Danio rerio: one gene and its partner. The protein of the gene in region 1 purifies or fractionates together with the protein of each later gene. This does not show direct contact. Links are inferred from orthologs where the notes say so. Each region holds a gene or a part of one and is shown on either strand. Other genes may lie near its edges.

Region 1 (9,678 bases):
AAGTATTTATAGTTACATTAAACAACACAAATGCAAAAACACAAGTTAAATAAACAATAAAACATTATATTTATTCAACTACCAAACGTTTTAGGTTAAAAACTTGTCTTTGAAGTCTTTGAAGTGGTCAACAACTGGTTGCTAAGGTAAACGTAACTTAAATCTGATTCTGAATCGCCTAGTTACGTTTCCTCCCCATTCTGTTTAAAGCTGAAAACAAACCCACAACCGTTCCCAGAACAGTTTTACAGTCTATGACGAATCCTCATGTAAAACTCGCTCGATGAATTGACATCCCGTGAAGCCAATCAGCGCGAGCCACGAATAGAGCGTGTAGGATCGGACATGTAAGACGCTGATTGGGCGACGCCGACTGCGGATCGCTCTCTGGTTGGTGCGGTGTTGTGCGTGGGGTGCAGTGAATGGCTGAAAGCAGCAGAGCACCGCCCTAGAGCGCATGAGTTAATAAAGCCGACTTCTCTCTCCCTGTCCACGCACTGAAACACTTCATCGAGGCGTGGAGGGCTCTGCAAAAGCTCAAGGCGTTAATCTGCTATTGAGTCTCATTAATAAACCGTTTTTCTTTCAAAAACAATGAGGCGGCTGTGGATTATCGGTCTCCTCTGTGCACTTTTGGCGTTCGGTGAGTAGATTTTAATAAACGGCCGTGAAATGCGCCGATTTGCATTATATTTGATGGCTTTGAACTTGACAGTGTTTGCTGTACTGTTGCCTTCTTTGTGCGGTTCCTCTTTTTGCCATGTATGCTTTAAAATTCGAAATAAACGTTTAAACAATGCTTCTTGTATAGCCATGCTAACGATTCCTAAATTTTGGAATGGTTTCGAACGGGAAATAAAACATGGAGAGTGAATTTGACTTGCATGTGCTTCTGGAAGTTTCCTTATTGAATTGGCCCTCTTATTATTATTATATGCTGCTTATCAATAATAGCTATATTGCGACAGGTTGAATTAAATCATTTGATCTTGTATTTAATGAAATATACGATTAATTAGTTACATAATATTGTTTGAGAACAATGCAATCTAATTTCACGTTCAAAGGAACCCAACCTGATATTTTGAAACATGTTTAATTGTCACATGATTTAACTCGTAATTTTAAAAACATCATCTGCACTGGAGTCCAAAGCATTTCTGTACACTTCATACGTGTGTGTATATATGGAAGGCCTTTTATCAAATTTGACTTCACAATATAAACTTGCATATCAAGTAGAAGCAACCTTGTTGTGCATAATGGGGTTTTTGCCAAGCAAACCAGCTTAGAAACTAAGTCCTCAAACATTCATTCAAATAAAATTATGCCAAAGTGCAGCATTTATTTTACTATTAGTTACTGGGTTAATTAAAAGTGCTTATCAACTCGCACCCTTTATTTGTGGTTTTGTCCTAATCTTTGATATTTTGCATAATTACAGCATCTGTAAAAGCTGATGATGATGTTGACATTGATGGCACAGTAGAAGAGGACCTTGGGAAGAGCAGAGACGGATCCCGCACCGATGACGAGGTTGTTCAGAGGTTTGTATGCACTTGAACTTCATTCGTTTTAAAGATCAAGGAGCAATAATTTTAATTATCCAAAATTAGTGACCTTTATTTAGGCTCAGATCTTGAAGTGGGGGTAAATGAATCCTTTAAGCTAATCTTAGCTGCTATTTTAAGCTTAATAAACCTCACTTGATTTCTTATGAGGGTACATTTGGATGTAGTCACTAAAAGCTCCTCATAAAGGCCAGAAATGATCCCCAGTGGGGCTAGACATCTGGTTTATCTGTTTATGCATCTTATCAAAACCCAGGAGTAAATGGCAAATCCCAAGAGTATGGAATATGTGAAGCATCCCTTGCACTCATGTTTCTATCTCATCTCTAACAGGGAGGAGGAGGCCATTCAGCTAGATGGTTTAAACACCTCACAATTAAAGGAAATTCGTGATAAAGCAGAAAAGCATGCGTTCCAGGCAGAAGTGAATCGAATGATGAAACTGATCATCAATTCTCTATATAAGAACAAAGAGGTGAGTGTTAGAAGTTTAAAGTTATAGTTCATGTCTTTGCAAATTTTGCATAAGGTGTCCTAATTTTTACTTTTCCATCCTAAAGATCTTCCTGAGAGAGCTGATCTCTAATGCTTCCGATGCCTTGGATAAGATCCGGCTGCTGTCTCTGACCAATGAAGATGCCCTTGCCGGAAATGAAGAGCTCACTATTAAAATTAAGGTGCGTGTTGCCACCCTTCTGATCTGAAACCCTCTCCGTTTTACAGAGAAATATAACATTGGGTCTGAATTTGCATTGCAAAAGAAATTCAAATGCGCTTGAAGCAGACTGAGAAGCGTTTCCTTTCTTCCTTTCATTTTCTTATCTTAATTGTAAGACCGAAAGCTTTTAAACATGCAAATTTTCTTTTAGTAAATACATCCTTTACCTGCTTTTGAGATTACGCAATACTGGTCACGTATGCACTGCACATACTTGTTAGTGTGCTTTTTCTTAAAAATGAATAGGCAAAATATTGTGATCGGTCTCCTGACTAATTTTTAAGTACATAAACTGGATTGCTTATGGCTAATAATTCTTAAAAAGCATCAATTGTACGAAGAGAACATGGTAATGATTTTAAAAGAGCAATCAAAAAGAGCTCTTCTAAAATTCACTGCATGTGTGTGACTCTTCTCTCATCAGTCTGACAAAGAGAAGAATATGCTTCACATCACTGACACTGGTATTGGCATGACCAAAGAAGAACTGGTGAAGAACCTTGGTACCATCGCCAAATCTGGAACCAGCGAGTTCCTGAACAAAATGACAGAGGTGCAGGACGACAGTCAGTCCACCTCTGAGCTGATTGGTCAGTTCGGTGTGGGCTTCTACTCCGCTTTCCTTGTGGCCGATAAGGTCATTGTCACTTCCAAGCACAACAACGACACCCAGCACATGTGGGAATCTGATTCCAATCAGTTCTCTGTCATCGAGGACCCACGTGGAGACACTCTAGGCAGAGGCACCACCATCACGTAAGCAGTTGAATGTGAAACGGGGCTGTATAATATTGGGGGAAAAATTAGATAGTGTTAAGTGTGATTATAACCAGTTGAAATAAGTAGCTCTAATTGGAAAATTCATAATTATTGACCGATTAGGATAATTTTATAGAGAAGTGAATCTACATTACATATAAAGCCAATCACAAGCATTGATGAATATAATAGAGCAAAGTTACAAATAAAAACACGCAGTGCTTTATGGTTTTCTCTGGGTTTTGTGTATATAAATACATTTAATTTTTTATTAACAAAAAAAATTTACTTTTTGGATGCTTTTTATGGTTAATTTGCAGTGACTTAAGAAATCATGTGTTTTAAACTGGATCCTGGTCAACTATACTCATGATCTTGCGATGCAACTAATAATAATGGTCATGTGTTTTGACCATTGTGATATTAAAGCTGTAACAATATATTTTACAGCCTTAATGTACAATATTGTAAAAAAAAATGGATTGCAACATTAAGATGACTTGTTTCTAAGCCTTAATGTAAAATATTATAAAAACAAAAAAATAGATTGCAACACTGTTAATAAGGTGACTTGTTTGTTAGGTTGGTGATGAAAGAGGAAGCTTCTGACTACCTTGAGCTGGAGACCATTAAGAACCTGGTGAAGAAATACTCCCAATTCATCAACTTCCCCATCTACGTATGGAGCAGCAAGGTCTGTTCACAAAAGACCCCAGACACTATAACATAACCAGATGTTGGACTTCTTAAACTCACTGATTTGTGTCATTTCCCAGACCGAGACCGTAGAAGAGCCTATTGAGGATGAGGCTGAGGCAGAGAAGGAAGAAGCCACTGAAGATGAAGCTGAAGTTGAGGAAGAGGAGGAAGACAAGGACAAACCAAAGACTAAGAAGGTTTTTAGATGGAGATATTCAACCCAACATTAGAAGTTATCCTATACTTTTTTTCCAGTGAATTTTAATTAATATTTGTTGTTTTAGGTGGAGAAGACTGTGTGGGATTGGGAGCTGATGAATGACATTAAACCCATCTGGCAGAGACCTGCAAAGGAAGTGGAGGAAGATGAATATACAGCCTTCTATAAAACTTTCTCCAGGGTGAGTAAAACCGGTGTGTGGCACAAATGGTTAGCTTTTTATGGTCCACTGCGACCTCTGGATCAGTTCAATTGGATCGTTGTCATTTCAGGACACTGATGAGCCACTGTCACACATTCACTTCACCGCTGAAGGCGAAGTCACTTTCAAGTCCATCCTCTTTGTTCCTGCATCTGCACCCAGAGGTCTTTTTGACGAGTATGGCACCAAGAAGAATGACTTCATTAAGGTAATTTGTGAACATTAAGTGAGAAATGGGAACTTGTTTTTGGTACGAGTTGCTAATTAGACTTGTTTGTTTCATTTAGCTGTTCGTGCGTAGAGTCTTCATCACTGATGACTTCCATGACATGATGCCCAAGTACCTCAACTTCATCAAGGGTGTTGTAAGTGCCTGTCTTTCAGTTTAGCATTTCATTGGGCAATGCATAATGCTAAATGTTCCATTTAGCCTGTGTATTGGCTTAAAAGTTGGCCCACATGGAATCTGTGTGCGTAGAACTCCGCAGATTTTTAGCCCATCGAGTCCATTTATGTACTTGTGTATATGTATAATCATTCAGGTTTTTAATTAATTTCAGTAATATTGACTAATATATGTGTTTGTTTTATTCACAATAGTTTGTAAAGTAATATTCTGTCTTTTAGTAGAGATATTATGAGAGACTTTAACCAAACAAGTAGATCTAGATGGATTTGCATTGTAAACATTAAATAAACGTTAACTGTTTCATTTCATGTATTAAGTTTTTTAGGTTTGATACTCCCAAAGTTATTTCCCATACATTTTTTTTTTTTTTTTTACAAAATTCTTAGCAGAAATGGCAAAACTGTCCGCTGATTCTGTCTGGCCCTACTTAAGTAAAGATCACTTCTATTTCAGCGGATTTCATGCGTTGCATTTTAATAATACTACAAGCTATAATTGTATATAAATACTATAACAAGTGGACTAAATGGCATTTTCTCGCTATATATGGGATTTTTGTTTTTAAAATAAATTTTATGCTTAAGAGTTAAGATATTCCTAACAAAAGCGGGTGGTGTAATGAAAAAAAAAAAGCTGTATAAAATCTAAATCTTTAATTTGTTTTTGATTCATCTTGCTTAATTTGATCTTAGGTGGACTCTGACGATCTGCCTCTGAACGTGTCCAGAGAGACTCTGCAGCAACACAAACTGCTCAAGGTGAGTTTATACGTTTGCTTATCGAAGCAACATTAACTATGTAAAACGCAATGCAATACAACATGCAAATTTAAATAACTTTCAAAACTCATGACTGCCCATTTTGTTCTTCAGGTTATCCGTAAAAAGCTGGTGCGCAAGACCCTGGATATGATCAAGAAGATCGCTGAGGAGCAGTACAACGATAAGTTCTGGAAAGAGTTTGGCACCAACATTAAGCTGGGCGTGATTGAGGATCACTCCAACAGAACCCGCCTGGCCAAACTGCTCCGCTTCCAGACCTCCCACAGCGACACCGTGCTGTCCAGTCTGGAGCAGTATGTGGAGAGGATGAAGGAGAAGCAGGACAAGATCTACTTCATGGCTGGAACAAGCAGGAAGGAGGTGCTTAAATGGTTTTTAAATCTCACCCATACTTGCTTAAGAACTCTTTCTGTATTCCAGTAGCAGCATGTAACATTTTGTCTTCTGGTTTTTAGGCTGAATCATCTCCATTTGTGGAGAAGCTTCTTAAGAAAGGATATGAAGTGGTCTATCTGACTGAACCAGTGGATGAGTACTGCATTCAGGCCCTTCCTGAGTTTGATGGCAAACGCTTCCAGAACGTGGCGAAGGAGGGTGTGAAGTTCGACGAGAGCGATAAGGCCAAGGAAAAGAGGGAAGCTTTGGAGAAAGAGTTTGAGCCCCTTACTACCTGGATGAAAGATAAGGCCCTGAAGGAACAAGTATGATTATTTTGTCATTACATCGTAGTGCATATTATAAAGTGGCAGATGAATAGTAAGATGTGCTTCTGTTTCAGATCGAGAAGGCTGTTTTGTCCCAAAGGTTGACAAACTCTCCATGTGCTCTGGTTGCCAGTCAGTATGGATGGTCTGGAAACATGGAACGTATCATGAAAGCTCAGGCTTACCAGACAGGAAAAGACATTTCCACAAAGTACGTCTTTTGAACAAGTATTAGACCCTCTTCCTAACTAAAATTTAATATGCATGGTCAAATCAAAAGGAGTCACCCAAGACTCATTAACATTTTCAACTCGTGTACAAATAGGGTTCTCGTGACCCCCTTCTGTTTAGACTGCAAGCAAAGGAAAAATTCAGATGATGGCCATGATTGAGCAATCTTTTTTTTTTTTTTTTTTTTTTAACAATTGTATAATTATGTACATGTAAAAATTGTTTTGGTGCACATTTTCACAACACATCCCATTACAGTAGGCGTTTTGTGGGTGATGTGTGAATTGTCCAATAAATTCATGCAATCGTAAATGTTACTACACCTATTATGTGCTTTCAAACGTGGAAAACTGGAAATGCAAGCTTGTGAACAGCACTTTAAATTTAGCCGCATTTCCCTTGTTAAAGTTATGCATTTGTTAAAACAATGAAGTAAATATTGCAGAAACGGGGCATTGAAATAAAGTGGGGAGTTGATTGCATTCTGCTACATTTTGGATATTTTATATTGAATGTAACATGTTATGTGAAAATTGAAAAATCTGTAACCACTATGACCATTTATCCTAATTAAACCCATATTGTTCATTCTAGTTATTATGCAAGCCAAAAGAAGACATTAGAAATCAACCCCAAACATCCACTCATCAAAGAGATGCTAAGGAGAGTCAACGTAAGTCAAGCGTTCTCATTTAGCCTAGCAAATTGTGCCTTCAATCTTATTTCAAATGAATATATTGTGCATTTTGTGTTGTAGGAAGACGCTGAGGATAAGACGGCCGCAGATTTAGCCGTAGTGCTGTTTGAGACCGCCACACTGCGATCAGGATACCAGCTCCAAGACACCAAAGCCTACGGAGAAAGAATAGAGCGCATGCTGCGGCTCAGCATGAATGTAGACCTTGACGCTCAGGTATGGATGTTCAAATCAAGCATCAGATTATTCTGAAGGTCTGCTTGTGAAGATCTCTGCTTTATGTAATAAGTCTATCTCCTGGTATCGGAAACATTCAGACTGAGCTTGATTTTATTAATGGAACTCCCAGAACCAGGACACTTAGAATCCTGTTGTTGCATCTACAGGTAGAGGAAGAGCCAGAGGAGGAACCAGAAGAACAGACAGAGGAAGCTGAGGATGAGGAGGAGGTCCAGGCAGATGAAGCAGAAGAGGAATCAGTGAGTGCCCTTCCAAACAAAAGTCTCTTTAGGAGCTGGAATTCTGGTCTTCATATATCTGAATATGTATGTTCTCTGCGTTTCAGGAGGCCACATCCAAAGATGAGCTGTAATGTGTAAATTTGGAAGGGATGGGAAGGGGTGTCTGACTGTGATGCAGAGTGAAGATGGCGACGTCAACGCGGTTGTCTTTTCTCTGTGCGGGTGGGCTTGGGGGATAGGAGCTGTTTTTTTTAAAGCGCTGCTTTTGTGTTTGCAATTTCTTTTTTTACATTCCTCCATGATTGTAAATTTGTTAATATTTAACTGACCCAGTTGTGGAGTGCTGACTCCTGTCCACAGAACGATTAAATGTTTCCGGAAAAGGATTTTTGTGTGCAATTTCTTAATTTGCGTCATGTTAACCAGTTCTATTAAATAACATTTTAGGATATTTTAGCAGCATCAATAGTGCTTTGATTAAAGTCCAGTTTGAATTTAAAGGGATAGTTCACACAGTTTACTCAATTTTTACACTTGTGCTTCAAAAGCTGTCTTCTGTTGCACACAAGAATATTTTAAAGAGCTGAACCTGTAACCATTAACTTCCATAGTATCTGTTTGTAATGTGCAAGTCACTGGTTACAGGTGGGAACATTTTTTTTCTAAATATCATCTTGTTTTAAGGAAACTCTCTAGATTGAAACTCAAAGGATGAGTAACTTGACTCTTTGGTGATCTGTCCCTTTAAGGATTTTTCAGTCTAGGTCGTACCAGCGTGAATTTTCCTGTGGGGTCTGGGATATACCACTTTTCCCAGAGGTCTAGATGGACGCAGGGGTAGTCCCAGGGTTTGAATTGGCCGTTCCAGTGTAGTAGCTTTGCCTTTTTGAGGAATGTCTTGGGATACCGTGTATCAGGACTCCAGCCTAAAGAAAACCCAAGCAGATGTTTCCTTTAATTCAACTGGCAGATGCTTTTATTCAAAGCTCACAAATGAGGTCTGAGAACTTTAACCTGTAGTTAAGTTTACAAGATTTACAAAATTTCTGAATAAAGGAGAAAAGAATTTCAGCAGACTAATAGGTAGATGGACCTTCATTTAAATTTCAACGTTAAGAATGACAGTGACTGTTAAATATTTCAGCATCAGTACTTGTCTAGTATATTTCAGAAATTATTCTAATATGCTGATTTGCTGGTTTTTTTTTTTTTTTTTTTTTTTTTTTTTTGTGCTGCAAAATGGCACATTTCAGAATTGAATAGACTAATGACAGAAATAATTTGAACCACATGATTAGTTACAGACATTATAAAGGTTTATACTATAAATTTTTTATAAATTGAATGCTTTGTTAAATGGGGGTTTTTAATTTCAAAATTTAATTTACAATAATGGTGTATATAATAAAATATTGAAGTACTCTCAACTTTAAAAATGTGCATCCAAATAAAGGTTATATGTTAAACTTTTTAAATTTAATTAATTTAAATGTAGTTTATGTAGCATAATATTTATCAGATTAACTTGTACAACATTAATTGGAGTTGGGTTTTTTTGTGAGATGTAGCATTCATTAAAAACAATTCATTACCCAGATGTCTGATGTGCCACAGTGGATCAATGGTTGTGAATTTATCATGAAAAACGATGAGCATTGGAGGAGTGGCCACACCACCTGCCACTGCACTGCTATATAGATTCTCCCTACAACCACATAAGAAAAGAAATTTAAGAAATCTCCAAAATCTTTTATTGGAGCTCAATATGAACCAATATATCACCTGAAATTCTTAGCCATCCATTTCTCCAGCTGTTTGGTTATCTTTTGCCTTTGCCATTCACCAACGTCCGCCACAAAAACACCTGGATTAAAGGAGCATTCGCTGGGATTGATGCCCAGCTCTCGGACTTCCTCTTTGCGGTAGTCCAAAAAGCCCATATAAGTTGTCTGTAACAGGCGATTGTGTATGAACAACACAAAAAAAGAAAGAAAAAAAAACAAGAAACATTAACTAAAGCAATTAACTACATTAAAAAATACTAACGCATACAGTTGATGTCTGAATTATTAGCCCCCCTGTATATTTTTTTCCAATTTCTATTTAATGAAAAGGAGATTTAGTTGTAATTTTTTAGTTGTAATAACAGATTTGTTTTATTTTTGCCATGATCACAGCACATAACATTTTACTAGATATATATGTTTTTTTAATTAAGTCTGCTT
Region 2 (11,529 bases), on another chromosome or scaffold:
TTCTATCACCTCAATATGACTGTGGACACACTATACCTGTACACAGTTCTGTCCAAACAGGTTACAAAAATATTATTTTCATCATAGGTGCAGTTTAAGGTGCCCTTTAACATAAAGTTGTAAAAATAGTTTCATTGTGTGCCACAAAAGAAACATTTTAGACTCCTCAGCGACCGTTTTTGTTTTTTAAAGAACCGCTTTAACAATTTAATAATTTAAAGAACTCTAAAGAACCTTATGTTGGATGTTGGTTCTTTTGATGTAAAATACTCATCAAGGAACCAACTTTTCCATTAAAAAAACATTTTTAAGTGTTGGTAAGCAGAAAAGAAGTCTTACTAAATCATTAATCAACTCTGAAAACTGGACTGACAGTTTCATTTTACTAGAACTTTCATGTTAAATTGATTTAAAACCATTTACATTGTAAAATCGATATAAGCACAATGGCGCAGGGGGTAGCATAATCGCCTCACAGCAAGAAGGTCGCTGATTCGAGCCCTGTTTGAGTCAGTTAACATTTCTGTGTGGAGTTTGAATGTTTGCGTGGGTTTCCTTCGGGTACTCTGGTTTCCCCCACAAGTCCAAAGATATGTGCTATAGGTGAATTGGGTAAACTAAATTGTTCATAGTGTATGTGCGTGAATGAGTGTGTGGGTTTTTTTCCAGTGATGGGCTGCAGCTGAAAGGGCATCCACTGTGTAAAACATATGCTGGATACCCCATTAATAAAGGGACTAAGTCGAAAAAAATAAATAGAATAAATAAAAATCTTAGTGAGTGCGTTTAGATTTTTTTTTTTTTTTTGTGACAAAACTTCCAATAAAGCTCCAAAAAGAAAACAAAAGTTCTAATATCATAAATATTCTGGAAGCATCTAGAGACAAACAAACCAGCTAATCAAACAGGCCTAAATAGTCTATTTATTAAAAATTTGAAAGAAAAAAACAGCAGTGCGCAACTAACGCAACAAAAGGCTTATTTATCATTTGCACCTACACGTCCATCCACTGCTATAGAGATAAATCCAAGGGCAGCCCTGTTGAGTGTGCTTAATAGCCAAACGAATGCGGCTTCCCTTCTGATATACTAATGAGGTGTAGTCTAGGCTCCAGCAGGCCAGTGTGCGGTGATTCCCAGCCCGATGTAAACTATCACACACAGGCCGCGGCGCTGTCTGAGACACAATATAGTAATTTAGAGTGCATCATAACGAGCAAATTCCGCAGTTTAAAGCCCACCCTGCCGTCTGTACAGCAATACACAGAGGTACCGATAGCCCCTCGGCCTGTTGTTGCCATATGTCACATCATCCACAGCAGAATTCCGTTAGGCAATCAAGAACCGCAATCCTGTTACAAATATAGCCTATATTGGAATCTGAATCACGTCCATTGCAAACACCAGAAGCTGAGAGACGATCAATTCATTAAGCGGTGCTTATTTCAGTGCATGCACTTAATCGTGGAGCAGAAACAAACAAATGTGACTGAGAAAATGATATCGGTGCTAATCACATCAGGGCGGATGAGCGAGCGATCGCGTTCAAATAAATCTTACCTGTAATGTCGCCACCAAGAGGGATCTCCTACCCTTAAAACACCCCCGGCGGGCTTGTCATGTGAACGCAAACAGCTGATAAATGAAGAAAATCTGATGGCATGGCATCCACCTCTGAGACGGAATGGAGGAGATGGGAGAGGAGTCGGGCAACCCCCTCTGTGAATAACGATGGAGGGCTGCAGCGCGGAGAAATGCGCGCATATGAGGGAGAGACGGAGAGGAGGAGAGAATGATGCAGCTTCACACGCGCTCGCGCTCACGCCTTGGCGCTCCGAGAAGTGGCTTGGATGGATCATAAACCCCTAATGAACTAATCTGAGTTTAATTCTTAAAGAATAAAAACAAACATTCCTTGTCTTTAAAAATGTTGCGTTTTTTTTTCGTTACCCATTTTGTCACTATGCTGTTATTGAGAACAACGCAGATGTTCTGGGTCTACTTGATAAGTTACTTGTTAAAATGAAACTGATATTTTCCAATAGTCACACATTTGACCTGAAACAAGATTTAGATCTTTAAAATAAAGCTTCTTTAATAGGCTACCAGTGGTTCCCGTTTGACATCCATAAGCTTTGTGTTGCACACTCTTCAATGTGTAAAAATATAGTTAAGATGATAAAAAAAAATGTCAAACATAGTTATTTGAAGAGCAAATTACTAAAAATTATTTTAGTAAACCCTAAATGTCTTCTACAGCATCACCATGAAAACTCCATTTTAGAACTATTCTTAGTGTGTAATTTACCATGAGCATTAATAATAGATCATACCCTTTTACACACATCATTAAGCAAAGGAATGATTTTTGGGATGGAATGATCTGGTCATGTGACACATGCCATAAAAAGATCAATTTCTAAACCACTTTTTTTGTAGCTGCAGGGATGCTGTTTGTCCTGAACTGAAAGTATACGCAGGGAATCAGCCTGGAGAGAAGTTCAGTGACAGTCCTGCAGGGATCTATCAAAAAAGTACATGGCATTGACAGTCTGCACTTTAAATGAACAAACTTAATTGATCCAATCAATAAGCCTTAACAAATATGTTAATTTGAAAATAATTTAATTGTTTACAAAACCTTATGTGACAGTGGTGGCACTGGCCAACTCAGATTGAAAGCACGGTCTACCCAGTCAAATAAAGAATTATGAATTCTGCTTTAAACAAAAAGTAAGACAGATCTTCAGATCTTTATCTGACTTGTCTTTATCTGACTTGCCTGATCAAGATCTCTGCATTTGGGGGCTCACCACATTCTTCTAAAACCCTGACAAAACCCATCAGTCAGCTCAAGCCACCCATGTCTTACACTGATTGCCCTATTCAAGTCTCTCAACTCTGCTAGCTCTGTTCAAGCATTCAAGACTCAGTCGACTCATGCTAAGGTCATTGCTCTGCTTGCTCTGCCAATTTGGCCTGCTCTGCCAGGTCCACTGAAGCAACTTGGTCTGTCACTTTCACCTACATTACCTTTACTTCCATTTCCAGTCAGGCTTCTTTTAGATGTTGCTTCCTGATGTCCTTCAGCAGTCCAGCTGTGCTATTTTTTTTTTTTTTTTTTTTTTTGAGATTCCTATTTCTTCAAAACAGAACTCTTCCTGGTTGATTTCTCCAGTCCTGCACAGGCTGGCTGCCCTCCTCAACTTCACTAGCTACTCTTGCATCCTTGATATTGTTTTAGATGCCACTCCTGTTCTTCCTCCTTCTATTACTGATGTCAAGTTAATGTCAAGTTAATGCTAGTCCATGCGTTCTTCTGTTGAAGTATCCTTTGTTCAATTTCCTTTGTAGGGGCATCTGGTGTATCCCATGTAAAAGTGTGGTGTCACTATTGGAAACAGATCTCTAAATAAAATTCTCAATCTATTCCACTAGAAAATCCTGATAGATCGGCTTTATATTATTATACAAAAGGCCCAGCTTACTGAGAATCAGCACACCAGATGCGAGGGCATAATGTCAAAAGCAAATCATTGTAATCAATGATGCTGTCTACAGTGGACAAAATATGCAGATACACATTCAGTTTCTGAAGTTCACACACACCCACACTTGAGCAAACATGAAAAAAATAATTTAACATAAATCAGAGAAAAATATTTGTTATTATTTTTAAGTCATAGCCAATGACATGATTGTGCAGTGGTTAGCACTGTCGCCTTACAGCAAGAAGGTCACCGGTTTAAGCCCCGGCTGGATCAGTTGGCATTTCTGTGTGGCGTTCGCATGTTCTCCCCGTGTTCACATGTGTTTCCTCCTGGTGCTCCGGTGTCCCGCACAGTCCAAAGACATGCTCCATAGGTGAATTGAATAAACTAAATTGGCCGTATTATATGCCTGTAAATGAGTGAGTATGGATGTTTTCCAGTACTGGGTTGCAGTTGGAAGGGCATCCGCTGTGTAAAACATATAAGTTAGCAGTTCATACTCCTATGGCGACCCCTGATGAATAAAGGGACCGAAGCCGAAGGAAAAAGTCATGATCAGGTTTAAAAATGACACTGATTGACACAATTGACACTGTTCTGTGAGGTTTCCTTTGGTTATTCTCAATGCCTCACTTTCATTTAGTTGTTAAATTTTCTTGCCATGATTCTAACGTCTTTAATTCACTGACGATGTATTCACAAAAAAACCTTTGTTTTTTTCAAATAAAGTTTAACATTTTAAAATTTTGCCCCAATTGTGGGCTGTATAGTATATGTAACTTATTTAACTTAGATTTCTTTACATAGCGAAAAAAAATATTATTTTCATAAGTGCTCCCTGCTGTAAAATGTAATGTACTGCCAGCAGTAAAAAAAAGAAAAAAAAACTGCACCTAGACTTTATCTCTGTATGTTTCAATTATTCCGTTTCATTATTCACTTTGAAAAAAACTGAAGAGTTCAGATGCAATATCTTCTTAATACCATCTGAATTTTGTGTAGATTCAGTAATATAACGTTTATGGCAAAGGATAGGCTACATCTTTTTATGGTCTTTAGCCTAAAGTGAAATATCTCAACATAAACAAAGGAGGATGAGAAAAATGTTTTGCATCTGGACAACTTCAACTTCAACTGCTAATGAATAACCTAAACATGCCATCTTTCGGATGAGACGTTAAAACGAGATCCTGACTCTCTGTGGTCATTAAAAATCCCAGGATGTCCTTCAAAAAAGTGTAGGGGTTAAAACCAGGTATCCTGGCCAAAACTCCCCACTGGCTTTAGTCCATCATGGCCTCCTCCCCATCATAATTGGCTTCATCATTCTGTCTCCTTTCCACCAATCAGCTGATGTTTGGTGTGCGGTTTGGACTGGAGCAATATGGCTGCCGTCGCGTCAATGGTATCTGGATGCTGCACACTGGTGGTTGATGAGGAGATTCACCCAAAAATGTGTAAAGCGATTTGAGTGTCCAAAAAAAGCGCTATATAAGCGAGGCAGTGGCGCAGTAGGTAGTGCTGTCGCCTTAAAGCAAGAAGGTCGCTGGGTCGCTGGTTTGAACCTCGGGTCAGTTGGCGTGTCTGTGTGGAGTTTGCACGTTCTCCCTGCCTTCTTGTTGGTTTCCTCCGGGTGCTCTGGTTTCCCCCACAGTCCAAAGACATGTGGTACAGGTGAATTGGGTAGGCTAAATTGTCTGTAGTGTATGAGTGTGTGGGTAAATGTCTGTGTGGATGTTTCCCAGAGATGGGTTGTGGCTGGAAGGGCATCCGCTGCGTAAAAACTTGCTGGATAAGATGGTGGTTCATTTCACTGTGGCGACCCCAGATTAATAAAGGGATAAACCGACAAGAAAATGAATGAATGTTAGTGTAATAACTTTATCATAATTAACTAATTAATCATATTTAAGTCAAGGATGTCATCTTAATATGTGGTTTGCTTATTGCTAAAATCTACATTACATTTTACTTTATCTTTATATTTCTCACTTACAGAGTGTATTTCTCACTTGTTAGATTTTGACAAAAGCACCATCTCAAACTTCAGTGTGTGTTCTCATCATTTTGACAGGCTGCGGTTCTCATGTGTTCCACAGCGGCCCCGTGAGTCTAAAACGTAACACTACATTGCTTATCATGTTCTCAGCGGGTCCAATAGAACTCATTTTCGTGGATGATGGGTGGTAATTACAACACGCTTTCCAATAAGCGCACGTTTTGAACATGACTGACGTTTTGAACATCCAATAAGGTGTCCGCTTTTAACAACGTTGTCCAATCCACGTTCCCTAGAGCGCTCTGCCATGCACCAAATAACAAATCATTTGACAACGCTTGTTTGCGATATGAGAGAACTATGGCTTCCTCCTTGATTAAGTGGTTAAGAGGATTATATGTGTTTTTCTTAACATGTCTCCTGTCTGTCTTTGCCTTTTTGAATCTAGAAGAATTAAACGAAATGAAATATGGCATACAGATTCTCCCCGATCCTGTTATCATGGGACAGGTAGGATTGTGGGATGCAGCTAGCTGGGGATGTTTGTTTGATACAAACAAACAGCTGTTAGCTTTAAGCACAGCATGGCACATTTGCCATTAACAACTACGTGTTTCGGTGTCTAATAGTCGAATATAGGATAGTAAAACAATAGCTAAATTAAAGAATGGTAAATTAGCTGTGACAGGTTATTAGCATAACGTTAGTTGGACTGTGCCTCCACAGGTATGCTACAGATTGTGCCTGATTGTAAATACAATATGACTTTAATATATATGTTGAAAATGAGCATGGTGAAGTTACATTTTTGATTGTGTTGTAAACTGTTGCACCTCTCCCTAGTTCTGCTTTTCTAATTTTGACTTTCTATTCCTGTTTTCAGATGGAAGATGTAATGTTGGTCTCTAACAAATACAAGCAGCTGTATGAGTGTCGTTTACCAGCTCAGGCAGTGCGTTTCCATCAGGACCCGGTGTCAGAGCCTGATGTGCAGGGTTACAGCGGCCCCGGGGTCCCTGAGCTCCTCAAGCCCATGCAGACGGCAGCATGTCTGATTAAGGTAGTTTCTGTCACAGTCACTCGCACACTAAATATACACAAGCTCTGAATATACTCATCCACAGGCACAGATCTAGATAGATATTAGAAGTTGTGTAGTCTGGAGTGGTGGATGAAGCACACAAATTAAAAATAATAATAAAATATGACTCCAATAAAAGTTTGAAAGTGCTTTTGATGTAGTTTAGTCTTAAAATGAACATATTATTACTAAGTACTGGCTGCTGAATGTTTATTTTACAAGAAACATTTTTTTTGATTACTAATATTCTTTTAATGTATATTACGGTGGCAGAGAGAGCTTGATGTGCTGCAGTTTAAGAAAACAAAAGGAATTACAAAAAACCGCCAGTAAATTAAGAAAAATATCTTCATCTATTTGACAGCACACATGGTGCAAATCCCCACAACGCAAACACATTAAAAATGTGCTTCATTTTCACAAAACACAAACGATTTACGAAAACCTGCTGCATTCTCTCTCAACGCAATACATCAGAACACAATGGAAATGTTTCAGGTGGACCCATGAATGTGACAGGCGCTTCTGTGCCATGCCTATTGCTCATTGAAATTGTAGGTGATTGTTGAAAGGTGAGTTCTCTTGGTTTGTTTATTGGAACATCCTGATTCCCTTGTCTTTAGTAGTTATTATCCTAAATAGCCAAAACCTAAATATCCAGGTCTCTCATGATTTAGATCCCCTTGAAACATTTCCGTTGTGTTACGAGGCTATTTGAATGCGTTGTAAGAAAATGCAGCACATTTTATTAATTTGTTTGTGTTGTGAGAATGCAATGTTTTTTTAAAAATGTGTTTCCGTTGTGAGGATTTGCGTCACATGTGCTGTCAAACGGATGAACATCTGTTCCTAATTAATTACCATTTTTTGTAATTGCATGTGCTTTCTTAAAATTGCACCATGTTAAGCTCTCTCGGCCATTATAGTATAATGTTCTATAAAAATTATTTGATAATCATAATGCAAGTGTGCAGCCAATAATAAAATACAGCATATATTCCTGCATATTAAAACAACTATACAAAAATGGTCTAAATTCCCATTTACGCCAACAACGATAACTATTGTATAATCATGAGATATAGTTTTATAAAACTTCTGAAAAAAATTAACATATTGACAGCCAAAGCTCAAGAATTCAAAGCAGAAGCTGACAAAAACTGAAGTGCGTGTTTAAAGTAAACTCCATTAACTAGAATAAATTATATTTTAATTTACAGTTGAGTCAGTCTTAAAGCATCTTCCATTCAGACTTGAGAATTGTCCACTTCAGTTAAAAATAAATGGTTCAGTGCGATTTGCAAATTGAATATAAATAAATATAACACATTTTTTAACAAATATAAGGGTGTAAAAAGTCAAATATTATGCTTTGCAGTTAAGCAAAAGATTCCCATAATAAAATACCCCAATAAAGTGCAGGTACTTAAAGAGTCTCAAAAATAAAAATTTACTCACCCTCGTGTGGTTTCAAACAAAATAAAAACATTGTTAAGAAAGTTTGCAACCAGCAACATCTGACTTTCATGGTAAGAAAACCAAATACTATGGAAATGAATGGTTCCAGCTTTTTTCTAAATATCTTATTTTGTGTTTATCAGAAGAAAGTCAAACATGATTGGAACAAGTGAAGAGTGGGTAATTGATGACAGAATTTTCTGTTTTGTGTAAAAGTTTGTAGTAATAAAGTAAAAACTGTTCTCTCTGATCATATTCTCTCAATCAAAAATGTTGTTTTGAAAAAAAAGCACATTTGGAGTGGCTATGTAGAGTATGTGTAAATTAAGACGTAATAAATGATGTACATTTATAGTCATTTTAGGTCATGTTAAAATGATAAACTACATGTCGCTGTGATCTGAAGCTTGTTCATGTTTTGTTTGCAGACCAAAGACTGGTGGACCTATGAGTTCTGCTACGGCCAGCACATCAGACAATACCACTTAGAAGGCAGGTTAAATCTTTTATCTAATGTGTCTTGGATAAATTGAGTTTTACATGGTCTAAAAAATATATATGCACTGCCTGTATAAACATGTTTTTTATTAGTAGATGGAAAGGAATTTAGAGAATTTAGGACAGAAGCCTTTCAGGAAAATGCACTGCCTATAAATATATACTATTAAATATTTCAAGATGTTTGAAATGTGTTCCCTATATGTGATCGCAGATTCGGAGATCAAGGGAGATGTACTGTTTTTGGGATATTATGATACAGAGTTTGACTGGACGAATGAAACTGCAAAGGTAAGGTCAGGTTTGTTAATCTTGATTTGCTTGTCCTAATAAAATGTCTGTAAATGTTGTCAATTCAAATTAGGAATTCTGATACTAGCAGTAAATATTTTTTATTAACCACTTTTATGTTAACAAGTCTGTAGTTATCTTCTATATATTTTGTAGTTACAAAATTAAAATCTTGTTGATCTTTTTTTTTCAGGCATCTAAGCAGCATAAGCTGAAGAGGTATCACAGTCAGTCATATGTCAATGGCTCAAAATGTGACTTAAACGGCAGTCCCAGAGAGACGGAAGTCAGAGTAAGATACTAAGTGCCATATTCCAGACTATAGAGAAAAATAATGAAGAAAGAGTATTATTGAAGTCAGTCTAATGGCTAACAATAAACAATAAGGACACTAGTTAACTGTTGTGACTAGTCTTCTTAATTCTGCTGCTGTATGCACACACACTGTAGAATACCTTCACTATACAGATGTTGAGCTCATTAGACCTCAAGTAATGCATATATATATATATATATATATATATATATATATATATATATATATATATATATATATATATATATATATATATATATATATACATATATATACATACATATATACATACATACATACATACATACATACATACACACACACAATTTAAGGTTAGATAGATCCTTAAATGGATCAATCCTAGGTAGATCAAATTGAGGCTAGATAGATCTGTCCTTTACAACAAGCACATGCAATAATCTCAGATCTGATTCACAAACTTGTTTGAAGAACCAAATCAGCCAGAGACCAGTTATCATGATTAAAAGATCCAGGATCTGTCAGATTATCTTTGTTTAAGCGAGGTACAAAGAACGGACCCCAGTAGTTTACATCAGCAACATAGAATTGTATTTTAATCTAATGGCAATGATAATCTATATATGTATATTGTGTTTTTAACAGTTTGTGTGTGAGGAAGGCTCTACTGACTTCATTTCACGGGTGGATGAACCCCAGTCTTGCCGCTACGTCTTGACAGTCCACACCTCTCGCACGTGCCAGCATCCCCTTCTGCGCCCACCGTCCACTGCCAAACCACAAGGCATTGTGTGCCAACCTGCTCTCAGTGCCCAGCAGTACATGGACTACGTCAAGGCTCAAGTCTGTAAGTATGAGAGGTGATGATTTTTTTTACTTTACATCAAGGCACTGTAATTTAGGGATCGATTGGTGAAAATATCCAATGTTACAAATGATTTTGCTGTGATTCTGTTAACATGACATTAATTAGCTACACTTAATTTGCTGTTTATATGGTTGTCAAGAGTCTCCAAAGAATCCTTCACTTTACTGCATGACTGTGAGATGTTGAGGAGGATATATTTTGTGTTTAAAAGATGAGTTAATGCATTTAAAAATCAGTTAATAAATTTAAAAATTGTATTATTTTTTTATTATATCAATAATATATCAATTAAAATAATTAATCATGTTTTTGTATTTGTATACTGTTTAATTACTTTTTAACAGGTAAAATCAAACTGATCGAAATTAAAGATATTATTTATATATTTTATATTTTTGTTGTATGGTTTTTCTTCCGCCTTGATTGTGTTTATTAATTGTCTCTGTATTTTTTGTAATTTTGATTTTATTTATTTTAATTTATACAAAACAAAAAGTAAAATATATCTTAGGAAATTTACCAGAAAAAAAATGTATTATATTGTTTGAGTTGATGTTATTTCATCAAGTAACAGCATTAATTTTGTGCTAGTGGTTTTAACTAGCTATAACCCTGCTCACCCAGGAGAGATGACCTATATGCTGTCAAATGTTAATTACACTACTATTACAATAACAGGATATGGATTGCTATGGCAGCGCATTAAGCCCAGTCTATTGTGACTCCGTTCATTATTCAACAGTTGTTGCTTTCACCTTTTACACATACAGTGCTGTATACTTACTTGCATAGAAACCTTCAGAATCATAATCAGATATTTTTATTCACAATTTCTTTCCTTATCACTCATTACACTATTCATAAAAATGCCCTCGCTGCCAAGTTCTGTCCTATTAGATTAGATCTCCGGAGATGCAATCAGCCTACATTTAATTGTACTCTGTTCTCCAATTGATTCATTATTTTTAGCACCTAGACATCTGTCGTTGCCTCTCTCTCTGTCTCAGCTGACACCAAACGTAAAGTGGAGCAGATCTCAGAGGAGCTCAGAAACCTGGATGAAATTCTGTCCAAGGATGACAAGAACAAAGGTGTGCTGGATGACAGAACAGATGAGGAACCTGCAGTTAGCTCTGATGAGCCTCCAGTTTCCAAGGCCCAAAAAAAAGGTCAGCATTCAGACTGTGATTTGATTTCTTTATACTTGTATGACTGGGTTAGTTTTAAGGCCATCTACAACACCCTCAAAATCAGTCTTGAGTTTTTCAACCTCAATCCTGCAGTTATAGTTCAATGCACTGGGTGGTGCTGTGTAAAGGAAATATAAAACTGAGTTGGTGAGAAGTGATATATACAGGGGCGCTGCTGTTCAGTACAGGCCCTATGACAACTTTGTAGAATTGTACAACTTTGTACATGGTTACTAATAGTAACTCTAGGGCCCCCAAAACGGCGTGGGTCCTTGGAATGGTCCTAACTTTTCCCCCTAGCAGCGCCCGTGGTTATATGTTTTGTTTTCATGACCAGTTTTTAAGGAGACGCTGCTAA

Evidence for each region.
Region 2: the proteins of hsp90b1 (region 1) and os9 purify together in Homo sapiens (affinity purification with mass spectrometry; 6 studies listed by BioGRID and IntAct, with this or other methods). This does not show direct contact. The link is inferred for Danio rerio from reciprocal best matches to the Homo sapiens genes HSP90B1 and OS9.

The regions. Positions count from the first base shown.
Region 1 is NC_133179.1:10,398,527-10,408,204, forward strand, and holds hsp90b1 (endoplasmin precursor), read left to right. Parts: upstream 1-511; 5' UTR 512-594; coding exon 595-643; intron 644-1,444; coding exon 1,445-1,547; intron 1,548-1,904; coding exon 1,905-2,046; intron 2,047-2,131; coding exon 2,132-2,248; exon of another isoform or gene 2,249-2,713; coding exon 2,714-3,045; coding exon of another isoform or gene 3,046-3,070; intron 3,071-3,630; coding exon 3,631-3,742; intron 3,743-3,824; coding exon 3,825-3,944; intron 3,945-4,031; coding exon 4,032-4,148; intron 4,149-4,239; coding exon 4,240-4,377; intron 4,378-4,456; coding exon 4,457-4,534; intron 4,535-5,270; coding exon 5,271-5,336; intron 5,337-5,450; coding exon 5,451-5,720; intron 5,721-5,815; coding exon 5,816-6,061; intron 6,062-6,138; coding exon 6,139-6,275; intron 6,276-6,889; coding exon 6,890-6,968; intron 6,969-7,052; coding exon 7,053-7,208; intron 7,209-7,378; coding exon 7,379-7,471; intron 7,472-7,557; coding exon 7,558-7,584; 3' UTR 7,585-7,839; downstream 7,840-9,678.
Region 2 is NC_133181.1:41,762,721-41,774,249, reverse strand, and holds the start of os9 (protein OS-9), read left to right. Parts: upstream 1-5,820; 5' UTR 5,821-5,850; coding exon 5,851-6,000; exon of another isoform or gene 6,001-6,373; coding exon 6,374-6,550; exon of another isoform or gene 6,551-6,574; intron 6,575-8,457; coding exon 8,458-8,521; intron 8,522-8,741; coding exon 8,742-8,818; intron 8,819-9,011; coding exon 9,012-9,110; intron 9,111-9,758; coding exon 9,759-9,960; intron 9,961-10,988; coding exon 10,989-11,150; intron 11,151-11,529. UniProt on the Homo sapiens protein: Lectin component of the HRD1 complex, which functions in endoplasmic reticulum (ER) quality control and ER-associated degradation (ERAD).